3 linked regions of the Rhinolophus ferrumequinum genome follow. The protein of the gene in region 2 binds, or shares a complex with, the protein of the main gene of each other region. Links are inferred from orthologs where the notes say so. Each region holds a gene or a part of one and is shown on either strand. Other genes may lie near its edges. The genes, in order: TMEM107, B9D2 and TMEM231.

The links.
Region 1: B9D2 (region 2) and TMEM107 share a complex: the UniProt entries of both Homo sapiens proteins name them as parts of the tectonic-like complex. The link is inferred for Rhinolophus ferrumequinum from reciprocal best matches to the Homo sapiens genes B9D2 and TMEM107.
Region 3: B9D2 (region 2) and TMEM231 share a complex: the UniProt entries of both Homo sapiens proteins name them as parts of the tectonic-like complex. The link is inferred for Rhinolophus ferrumequinum from reciprocal best matches to the Homo sapiens genes B9D2 and TMEM231.

What each region holds. Positions count from the first base shown.
Region 1 is NC_046304.1:10,817,866-10,821,612, forward strand, and holds TMEM107 (transmembrane protein 107), read left to right. Parts: upstream 1-949; 5' UTR 950-1,116; coding exon 1,117-1,203; intron 1,204-1,361; coding exon 1,362-1,429; intron 1,430-1,531; coding exon 1,532-1,632; intron 1,633-2,080; coding exon 2,081-2,177; intron 2,178-2,405; coding exon of another isoform or gene 2,406-2,475; exon of another isoform or gene 2,476-2,495; coding exon 2,496-2,598; 3' UTR 2,599-3,200; downstream 3,201-3,747. UniProt on the Homo sapiens protein: Plays a role in cilia formation and embryonic patterning. Requires for normal Sonic hedgehog (Shh) signaling in the neural tube and acts in combination with GLI2 and GLI3 to pattern ventral and intermediate neuronal cell types.
Region 2 is NC_046298.1:39,663,985-39,667,731, reverse strand, and holds the start of B9D2 (B9 domain-containing protein 2), read left to right. Parts: upstream 1-844; 5' UTR 845-928; coding exon 929-1,188; intron 1,189-1,658; coding exon 1,659-1,750; intron 1,751-3,747. UniProt on the Homo sapiens protein: Component of the tectonic-like complex, a complex localized at the transition zone of primary cilia and acting as a barrier that prevents diffusion of transmembrane proteins between the cilia and plasma membranes.
Region 3 is NC_046298.1:22,920,023-22,923,769, reverse strand, and holds the start of TMEM231 (transmembrane protein 231), read left to right. Parts: upstream 1-890; coding exon 891-1,029; intron 1,030-1,137; coding exon 1,138-1,307; intron 1,308-3,747. UniProt on the Homo sapiens protein: Transmembrane component of the tectonic-like complex, a complex localized at the transition zone of primary cilia and acting as a barrier that prevents diffusion of transmembrane proteins between the cilia and plasma membranes.

The sequences.
Region 1 (3,747 bases), on a different chromosome or scaffold from region 2:
ACAAGAATGTTATTGGACTCTGAGCAATAATCACAGGTGAGAACTTTCCGTTCTTTAGGGATCCCCGTTGAGGCCCAAAGGTCAGTGAAGTCGCCGACAGTTAGAAGTTCTTGGACTGTAACTGGGCAAAGTCGGGTGTCCACACCTGAAAGATGTAAGGAAATCGAAGCAGTCTGCATCGCTGCCCTCTCCTCGCCTCCCAGGGACGCGGGTACCATTCCCTTCCTCCAATCCCTCCTAGTCGGCTCCGTAGTCCACTCCCTTCCCAAAAGACGCTTCTCATCCACATTCTAGTTCAAGAGAGCTGGCCATTTTCTGCACTCTGCAAATCTCTCGCCAAACTGAGCAAAGTTGTCTGAGGGGGAATCAGAATCAAGGAAGGTTCAGGTCTAGGGTCCTAGAACAACCAGGGGCTCCGTGACAATAAGTGACAGCTGGACAATCTAGGGATATCCACCTCTCCACGTTCGGCTTCCTTCGTCTCTTCGGGCCCAGGGCAGTGGGATGCTAGAGAGACGCGGAAGAGGAAAGGAGAGAAAGTGTCCATGCCTAAGGCATGGGGGTGCCCTAAGTCCCGCACGGCGGTGACAAGGGTCAGCAGCGAGTAACTCTTACGCGGAAGGTCATCCTGGGCTACGCAAGGGGGTGTGGGCCCGGGTCGCTCCTGAGGTAGGACATCGCGGAGGAACGGGTGTTCCCAGGCTAGGACAGGGCGGTTTTCCGTCCTCTGGACCCGCGTGGGAAAATTCGGCGGTGCGGGACCCAGTCACACAGCACAGTCTCAGGTGCAAACAGACGGCTCGGCTGCGCGTGGGGAGCTGGCGGGAGGCGGGCACCCTACTGCGACCACCCTCAGCTGACCCCAGACCCACGCTCTCCAGGAGGTCCACTGCGACTCGAGAATTTACTGATCTCGCGAGATTTTCAGAGATCCGGTCCTGGTGTCCGCCTCCGCGGTTGCTAAGGCAACTGGGCGGCGCCAGTGAAAGCGGGAAGACGGCGTACGTCGAATTTTTGCCTGCTAACCTGGGAGACTTTCAAGAGTGGCGCTGCCTGAGCTTCCAGCCTTAGAGACCACGGCCTCTGCTCCAGGAGGTGCCCTTACCCCTCGGAGCCATGGGCCGGATCTCGGGGCTCGTGCCCTCTCGCTTCCTGACGCTCCTGGCGCATCTGGTCGTCGTCATCACCTTATTCTGGTCCCGGGTAAGATCCACGGCCACCCTCCACCCAACCCCCATTCCCACGTCGGTGTGGTCCCAGCCCAACACCGCTCTATCCCCAGGGCCTGACCCGGTTGGGTCTTCCTATCCCCCGCTGCCCACCCCTCTTTCACTTCTCTTTCTCTGTGACCTGCTCAACAGGACAGCAACATCCAGGCCTGCCTGCCTCTCACGTTTACCCCTGAGGAGTATGAGAAGCAGGACATTCAGTGAGCACTTGGGGAGGGGTGGTCAGAATTAAGTAGTAGTTGGAGTGGAAGGGTCTTAGAAGAAGTCCAGAAGGCCTGAGCCAACCCCCTTCCTCTCTGCAGGCTGGTGGCAGCGCTGTCTGTCACCCTGGGCCTCTTTGCAGTGGAGCTGGCCGGTTTCTTCTCAGGAGTTTCCATGTTCAACAGTACCCAGAGCCTCATCTGTATCCTTTCTGCCTGCGTACCTTTCCCACAGGGGCCATTGCCATCGCTACTCCCTTCAGCCACCTAACTTTTTGGTACAATAGTGCCTGCCCTAGCAGGCAAACAGAATCTCTCCAGTTGAGAGATCTTCTTAGATAATTTAATACAATCTCTTGTGTAGCCTGGGGTAAATTGGGAACCCACTTCTACCTCATCTGAAGAGTCCAGGCTGGCCCCTAGATCTGGGATGGGGGCAGCCTGCGGTCCCAGCTGTGCAGGCTCAGCTCTAGCCTCTACTCACATGGCTGTCCTAAAACTCAGAAGGCAGGGCTACTGGCTCTGTGCCTTCGCAATTGGCGAGGGAGCAAGAAATGAACCAGACACAGATGCCAGCCCCACCACTGGCCTTTTCTGGTCCACCACTGCCTCTGGATCCAAAGACTTTCCTTGACTCAGGGGCGTTCCCAGCCATCGGGGCTCACTGTAGTGCGTCTGTGGCACTATCCTTTTTCATATTTGAGCGTTGGGAGTGCACCACATACTGGTACATTTTTGTCTTCTGCAGGTACAGTAACATCCAATGTTTGGGGATGGGATGGGGGAGGAAGGTTTACTGTAAATCTGAAGGTAGCCCCACCCAGCCCTTTACTCCATGTGTGAGATACCAGATCCACTCAAAGTCCTGTATTTAGTTTTTTGAAGTCCCGCTCCACCTATACTTTGGGGGTGGGGTCTCTGGTTCGGGGATTTTTATTGGAAGGGGCCCTGAACCCACCACCTTAACCTTCCATAGTGCCCTCCCAGCTGTCACTGAAATGGCATTATTCATCAGCGTCTTTGGGTTGAAAAAGAAACCTTTCTGATCACTTTCATGGGAGCCTAGGGAGGAAGGCTGGAGAAGCAAGGGACCATTGACCGTTCCTGGAAGGAGGAAAGCAAAATCTTCAACCTTCCCCCGTAAGACTGCATTTGGTGGAGGATTTTAAAGTAATTATCTGTCGAGTCTGGGATTATCAGCGTTTTATTTAATGATTTGTAATAAAACCTATTTTAGAGTAAGATCAAGGCTTACAAAAATTTCAGAGGAGAATTGGGGTAGCCAAACTACTAGAGAAACGGAAGGCTGTTTTCCTTGCAGATTGTATCGCTTTTTTGGTTATTACGGTAGACGCCGGGCAGAAGGGAGTGGGCGGAGATATGTAAATAAGTAATGCCAGCAGGACTGCAAGATCGTGGAGTGGAGCATTCTGGGGAAGTTAGTTTATCCCTTTTGGCAGCCAAATGGGGAAAAACCTGTATTTTAAAAAGATCTGCAAATAAATGTAGCAACAGAAATGTAAGAATATGAATATTTTAGGTAGCTCCGACTAACATGTTATATTCTCACCCTTGCTTATAGCGGAATCTTTTTTACTGAATATGGTAATGCCGTCAGAAGTTCCTTATCGTCAGGTAGGATAATCCTTACCTGTTCCTCTTCGGAGGACAGATTAGAATGTGATGATTGGAGTTCGCATGATTCGTGATTAACGTCTCTGCGTAATCAGGTCTTGCAACACCCTGATTGCTCCTATCTGATTCTTCCTGGCGATCATTTCTTTTACAATTGTAGTAGTTGGAGTTTACTGGTTGTAGGTTTTACTTAATGAGTGGTTTTGTTATCTCGTTGTTTTAGTTTGTGGAGTGTCTTTAGGCGGATTTGTTTGGAAGCTGCTAGTTCCGTTTTCTGACCTTGAGGCTCTACGTTAACATACAAGATTTTTCTTTCAATTTCTGGGCCAATTCAAGTGCCGAGTACTCCCAGTTTTTTTCTGGAGAAATCTTTGTCACCAGTAAATGTTTTTTGTTATCTCTGGGCTTTGCTATCAAACGATCGTTAATGTTGATCATACCACGTGGTGTCATAAATGGTCTTTTGTCAAACCTTCCACCTCACCATGGTGAGAAGGGCACGTGCTCAGGGAGAATTTCTCTGGTGGTTGGAGCTCCTACCCAGAAACCTGGCAAACCTGTTGTTCGCAGAGGAACACTCCACCTGTTAGCATCTGCCTGCTAGCACATGAAAAGAACATGTTTAAAAGAAAAATTATTAAAACACACACAAACTAAAAGCATTATACACACGAACTACAAGA
Region 2 (3,747 bases):
AGTCAAGTTGTTGTCCTTTCAGTCTTAGTTGTGGAGGGCGCAGCTCAGCTCCAGGTCCAGTTGCTGTTGTTAGTTGCACGGGCGCAGCCCACCATCCCTTGTGGGAGTCGAGGAATCGAATCGGCAACCTTGTGGGTGAGAGCCCACTGGCCCATGTGGGAATCGAGCCCGCAGCCTTTGGCATTAGGAGCACGAAGCTCCAACCGCCTGAGCCATCGAGCCACCGGGCCGGCCCCTTATATAAATATTGTCCTATTGAAATGTTGCCCCATTTTGCTAAAAAGTAAGGGACTAAGAAGCTAAGTTCCCTTTGGACTCCTGGTCTGGGCTGGAGGAATAAAGCACTATGGTTAAACTCTATTTAGAAAGCGGCAAAGGCACTGCTCAGGAAATCAGAATGAGAGCCTCTGGCTCAGTCACTGTCCTTGTGTCCACTGCGTGGATGAGAAAACTGAAACCTTAGAGCTGTGCAACGTCACACAAGTTACTTGGCAGAGTCCAGTCTTCTAGAGCGGATTTTCTGCAGATAAAGGAGCCTCAGTTCCTCATTTTTACCACTTCACCACACCCCACCCCTTGCTCAGAATCAGCACAACAGAACTGGGCAGTATTTCTGAGAGGGAAGTTGGATTATCAGTCCCTTGGACCCTGGGGAACTTTAAAAAAGGAAGGAAAACCCCCTCCCCAACTTGAGGAAGGATTTTTTTTTTTCCAGTCATGAAGCAGAAGGGTGCATTCTTCTGAGGGGGAGTCCCCCTTGGCACTGGCTCAAGTCGCTGGTTGGTGGTCCCCGCTGGAGAGGAGTTTGGAGGGGTATGGGGAATCGATGGACTTGTTTATTTTGTTAAGACAGTTATCTGGGAAATACAGTTTGCGCTCAAACTTCCTCAGCCACACTCAAGATGGCAGCTGTTAGGCCACGCCCCAAATGCCAGAACCTTGCGTTGTGACTGGGAGACGCTTTTCCCAAAATGGAGAGAACGTCCATCACACCTTAGCCCCGCCCCCACAGGCAGCAGGGCCAATAAGGCAAGGAAGGGAGGCTGCTGTTGCCCTAGTAACAACCAGGGAGGCCGAAGGCGGGCGCGACGGCGAAAGGCTCGGCACCTCGGATCTCTCGCTGTCCGGAAGGTCCTGGGAGAAGCGCGAACTAGGCCTGGGAGTCAGCGCCCGCGGAGAGAGGGTCAGGTCAGGCCCATGAACTCTTACCCCCGCTGCCGCTTTCACCCCTCCTAACCGTTAGGTGTTCTGAAATAGGAATAGCGCATGCGTATGCTTAGAGGCGGGGCTTTGGTGGTTCTGCACTTAAAACGCATGCGCGTCAGGGAGCTGGGGGGAGCCGACGACACTAGGAGGCGGAGCTTTTGTGCTTGTGGGCGGGGCCTTGACCTTTGAGGCGGGGCTTTCCGTTGCACTAAGAGGAAGAGTTTATTTTAGGGGCCGGCTGAATTAGACGCCAGTTCCTCAGCCCAGCCCTCATTTTTTTCGAGACTCTCCTGGAAAGGCAATTAGGATCATGGTTCAGACCCCAGCCTCAGTGGTTTGACGAAACTAGCTTGGAATCCTAGTACTGCCCCTTATTTGGAGAGCCTTTTTCCTATCTGTCAGGTGGAAACAGTGTCCTTAACAGGGCTGTGATTATATTTTTCTCCTCTCAGGGCCATGGCTGAGGCGCACGTGATTGGGCAGATCGTGGGGGCCACCGGTTTCTCAGAAAATAGCCTCTTCTGCAAGTGGGGCGTGCACACAGGTATTGCGCGGGGCCTGGTTCATTTCCCCACCAAGACCCCCAGCCTAGAGGTTCCACCCTCTTTCCTTGACCAACTGGCCCTGTCGCTACTCCTTGTCTTACATCGGCTGTCAGCACTCCTAACCCTGACTACACTGTGTACATGTGAATTTCAGGCTCCCTTCTTATCCCTTCCCAGCCCATCTCTGGAGGCTCTGGCTCCCACCTCTGAACACATAGCCCTTAAGGATATGGGACTATAGGCTAGACTACACACACACACACTCCAATCCTCAGAACACCAGACAGCCTTAACCCTACTTCACTCACTGTCTCAGGGGTGCCCTGGGACCCTCCTCGCTCTTAATTCTTTGCTTAACAGCCTCCATTTATTGAGTTACTGTAAAATGGAAATTTCCATCCCAAATTTACAGAGAGACTACCCTCCTGTGTTCATAATTCTCTGTGAGAAGGTAGGAACCCCATTCTGGCAGTCATCCAAGTCCATCCACAAGGCCCAGGAGGGACCTTGAAGGGCCCAGTTTTCATGCCTCCCCATGGGAGGCAGTAGAGCCTGGTATAGTGTCCTGGCTAGGACCTCCAGATCTGGGCTCAAATACTAACTCCACCACCTATTAATTGGAGGCCTTTGGACTTAACCAAGCCTCAGTTTGCTTGTCTGAAAGTGAAGCTAATAGCAACTGAGAGGCAGCATAGTATTGAAGTTAAGAGCACAGACTGCCTAGGTTCAAAACCAGCTGTTGCTTATTAATTTTGTGACCTTGACACTTTCCCTGATTGTACATGGGCATAACAACCACCTACCTTATGGGGTGGTTATGAGGACTGAATGAATAACAATGGCACTTAGGAGAGGGCCTGGCCTAGTAAGTTCTCAGTGTCTGCCTGGCTTGTGTAAAAATTGGATGGAATCTTGTTTGTAAAGCCCTTGATATGTTGCCCAACACAGATAAATGCCCGTGAAAGGAATGTGGTTGTTGTCATCATCATCTCTTCCGGCCCTGGGTCCTTTGCAATTCCACTGGTGGCCAGGGTGGTGGTTGAGATTCCTTGGGAAACTGTGGTTCTCCAGGAGAGCTGATGAAGAGGCAGGCTCTGGAGTCAAACTCGGTTTCCATTCTGGGCCCCACCATTCACCTGCTCTGTGACCCTGAGCAGGTGCTTTCCCCTTTTGGAGCCTCAGTTTCCTCAATTGTGAAGTGGGATATTTGTCCCTCACAGGGGTGTTGGGAAGTATTGTATGTGAAAAGCCTGACTCAAGGCCTGGTGCTTTCCTCCCCTAGCCCAGAGGGAGCAACAACTCATAAGGTTTTTGTTATTTCAAGGAGTTGTTGTGGGGGGCATTGAATCCAGCAGAGAGCTTGGGGGCAGTTGGATAAAGGGCTTGGGCTCTGCAGTCAGACAGAGCTCAGTTTGAGTCCTGCTACACCATGGGACCTTGGTCTGCTGCGGTCCTGCTCTACGTCCAGCATGGGGATTAGTGCTTGGCACACAGCACGTGTTCAATAAATGTGCGTAGAATGAATGGACAACTGACTTTCCTTCTCAGCGTCTGTTTCTTTGCCTGTAAAATGGGGGTTATACAGAGGGTGCCGAAAAAATGTGTACACATTTTAAAAAGGAAAAAAATATTAAAATTGCAATAATATATACCAATAACAAAAGATGAACACAGGGGCGGCCGGATGGCTCAGTTGGTGGCAAGGTGGCTCAGTTGGTTAGAGCGCGAGCTCTTAACAACAGGGTTGCCGGTTTGATTCCCACATGGGCCAATGAACTGTGCCCTCCACAACTAGATTGAAAACAATGGCTTGAGCTTGGAACTGAGCCGCTGGTGGGTGACCGGTTGGCTCAGTGGTTGTCGTGCCATCCTCCTAACACCAAGATCGCTGGTTCAAGTCCCACATGGGCCAGTGAGCTGTGCCCTCCACAACTAGATTGAAAAAACAACGACTTGACATCCTGGAAAAACACACTGTTCCCCAATATTCTCCAAT
Region 3 (3,747 bases), about 17 Mb from region 2:
CTCCATTCTGAGTACATATTCTGAGCATAAACCTCACACTATGTTTTTGATGCAAACAACAACTTTGATATGAACCATGATAAAAAAAACAACAACTTTGATGTAATCCATGATAAAAAAAAAAAAAAAGGAAAGAAAGGAAGAAAGAAAGAAAAAAATTCTATGCCATGTTCGAAATACTGGTTTGGAGTGAGGGCAGGAGGGCACAATTAAGTGATAAGCCAATGTTATCTTTGGGGAAGACCATAGCTTCCCCTAAAACCGATTGCAGAGCTTGTACCCAATACAGGGTAACAAAGTATAGCAGAGCTGTGTAGTAATTATCCTTTATCCCACGAAGAACCGGGAGATTTGTGTCCTGTTTCTGTGTCTGTCCTGCTATGGAGTATAGTGAAAGCAACAGAAAATTTGGAAACAAAGGGACCTGGGTTTGGTCTTAGCCCAGGACCAAGTGCAAGACCACCAGCACATGTATGTTATGTGTTTTCCTCCCGTGTAGGTGTGCTGGTTGGTTGGACTTACGAATGAACGACATTGGTTCATGGTTAATGAATGACACATAGCAGGTATTTACTTTGAGTCAACTTCTATGAAAATCTTATATTTTACACAAATGTTAACACGGGCGACAGCTACGATTTTGGTGCACAGAAACACTTCATCTCAGCCTTTGGGAAAGCGCGCGTAGCGCACAAAGCGAAGTGGACCAACCCAGAGGGCCCGCCCCCCGTTAGCCCCACCCCTACCAAGGCCCTTGCTATTGGTTCCTTTTCCTGCGCCGTCGGTTGCCGTAGAGACCAAGGCTATGGCAACCAGGAGAAGCCAAACTTGGTAGTCCCTCGGCGACTGCAGAGGGTCCGAAGCGTGCGGCCACACTCCGCGCGGCGCTCATGGCGCTCTACGAGCTCTTCTCTCACCCAGCCGAGCGCGGCTACCGCGCGGGGCTCTGCTCCAAGGCCGCGCTGTTCCTGCTGCTGGCCACCGCGCTTACGTACATCCCGCCGCTGCTAGTGGCCTTCCGGAGCCACGGTGAGCCTGCCCCCGGCCGATGCGCGACACAGCTCCCGGCGGCCCCGCTGCGCCCGCGCGGGCCTGCCTGACCTCCTCCCCACCGTCCTCTCGCCCTCTTTACCTCAGGGTTTTGGCTGAAGCGGAGCAACTACGAGGAGCAGCCGACCGTGCGCTTCCAGCACCAGGTCCTGCTCGTGGTCCTGCTGGGACCGGAGCGCGGCGGGTTCCTCGCCTGGAGCACGTTCCCCGCCTTCAACCGGCTGCAGGGGGATCACCTGCGTGTCCCGCTCGTTTCGGTGCGTGGTTCCTGCTCGGGCCTAGCTGTGCACCCGGACTGGGTGGGGGGTCAGGCTGGGTGGGGGAGGAGGCTAGAGGCCCGGCCCCGGGCGAGCCCAGCTTTGGGGTTCGGGAACCCACGGTAAGTTGTGTACACAGGCTCAGTAGCCTGACATATGTTTGATTTCGTGGGAAGCAATTCTTGTTTCATTCGACTTCTCCAAGCTGCCCACACCCCAAGAAAATCAGCCACTGTTGTCAGCGTCTGCTTCCTGACACAGTCCAGAAGGCTGCGACAGCCAGTTTCTGACCCCCGTTATTTCCGTGGGTCTGGTCTGATAGAAAAGTGGTCGCGAAAGTCCCTTTATGAGTCATGAAGGGCGAGCGGTGTTCTTGTTACAACCCCATTGTGTGCACGGGGTAATTGTGCATCGAAACACGGTAGGAACGCAAAGCGCAGGCGCTGATTGGTGGAGCGACTTCCCAATGGCCCAGTCCCGCCACCCTGGGCTTGTCTCATTAGATGCTGCTCCATCCTGCAGCTGTCCAGGATGAAACTAAAGCATTTTACTGTCTGTAATTTAGTATTTGGTTCAGGATAAGGGAGTGCTTCCTTTACAAGCACTTCTTTCTGCTCATTTTTTGGAAAACATTTTCCTTTAGAAGTATGCAAATTCTGGTTTTCCTTCTTCCAAAGTTGAATCTCTTTAGACATCTCTGAGATGATTGGTCTACAAGCCAAACTTGTGTAGCTGGAAAAAAAAAAATTCAGACTTTTTTCCCAGCATCTAAAAATGAAAAAAAAAATTAATCTTATTGGTTATATGAATAACTACAAACAAAATATGAATCAGATTACTTTTTTCCAATTTAAAGTTTCTTACACTTTTCTGATTATAAAAATGTATACTCATTGTAAAATATTAGAGTGACAGATACATATAATGACATAAAATTAAAGGCTCAGTTTGGTACATGTATCAATACTTGTTAATCAACCTCATTCTTTTTAAGATCTGCAAGGTATTTCATGATATGGAAAAACTGTTCTCATTGGTGGGTATTGATTTATTTTTTCAGTATTAGAGAGAATGTTGCAGTGAATGAGATTTTGAATAAATCTCACACCTTTAAACATCAAATTGTGAGAAGTGCAATAGAAGCTGTTTGTTGAAATTGTGTAAGTACATAGAAAACTAAGCAAGCAAATAAAATAATTATTAACTCCAGAGAAATAAAAGTAAGGAAAGGAAAGGAAAAGTAATCAGTGTTGTGAATATGAGTTACATAGTCAAATGAGACTTTAACTCTCCTGGAGGATGGGGCGAGAGAGAGAGAGAGAGAGAGAGAGAGAGGAGTGAGGGGAGGAAAACTAAATATTCATCTCTGGAAATCAACAGGGAATGCCTGAAATGAAGTGAAAATATTTGCCATAGGGATGGAAGTCTGCTGGGAAGTCTACAACAATGTTGTAACACACATTGTTGAACTCTTTCATTCTTTAAATGATCAGTACTTTTAAATTGATTATTAAAACAGAACTGGAGTAGGAGACAAATTTCTTTCAATAGCTCTTCACTAATCATGACCTGTTGCCCATTTTTAATTCATATTTGAGATTATAATGCCTCTGAAGAAGGGTGCCTGGATGAGAGGCCAGTGCCCAGGTATGCTTACATTCCACATGTGTACGTTGCCTTTCCAAAAGTGTAAACAAAAGGTTTTTTATTCCAAACAAAAAATTTGTTAGTTTTACTTTAGGTTAGCATTCCCTGTCTTTTAAATTTTGAGTAGCAATTTTTTTCTTTAGATTGGTATATTCCTCTCTATCATACTCTTCTGGTTACTTGAGTCTAAGAAATCATCATGAAAACTTAAAATAATCATGAACACAAGGATATAACATTAGGTTTCACTCATTTGTCCTTTTCACTTGTTCATCCACCACAACTGGTTGACTCCCCAGTTGGACTGCTAGTTAGTCTATTATCTCTCTAACCAGAAACTACTCCCTTGAGAGCACTGCCCATGTTCCCTCTGCTTCTGGTATGTGTGTGCAGATGTTAAATCTGCAAAGCCAAGACTACCTCTTATTTTTATGGTGTCCGGAACTATTAATACTCTTTAATACTGGGCAGTTTTACACTAAAATACAAAACCAAAGCTTCTTTTTCTCAGTCTTTTTTTTTTTCTCCTCCACTCTAGGCCTATGTCTATAAGTAATTTATGACCTTGTCATCTATAGTCTTTCTCAAATAACTGATTTCCTTCCTTCTTCGCTGAGCTCAAGGATTTCTTATTCCATATGTTATACTCTTAACCCTTATTGCAACAAAATATTTTATTTTTCTAACTCTAAATATGAAGCTAGACTGATTACCGCCCATCTGAGAAACTGCCCAGGAAGCAATGGTTTTAGATCAAAGTTTGACCAAATGCTGGAAGTGGCTTTTCGGTTGC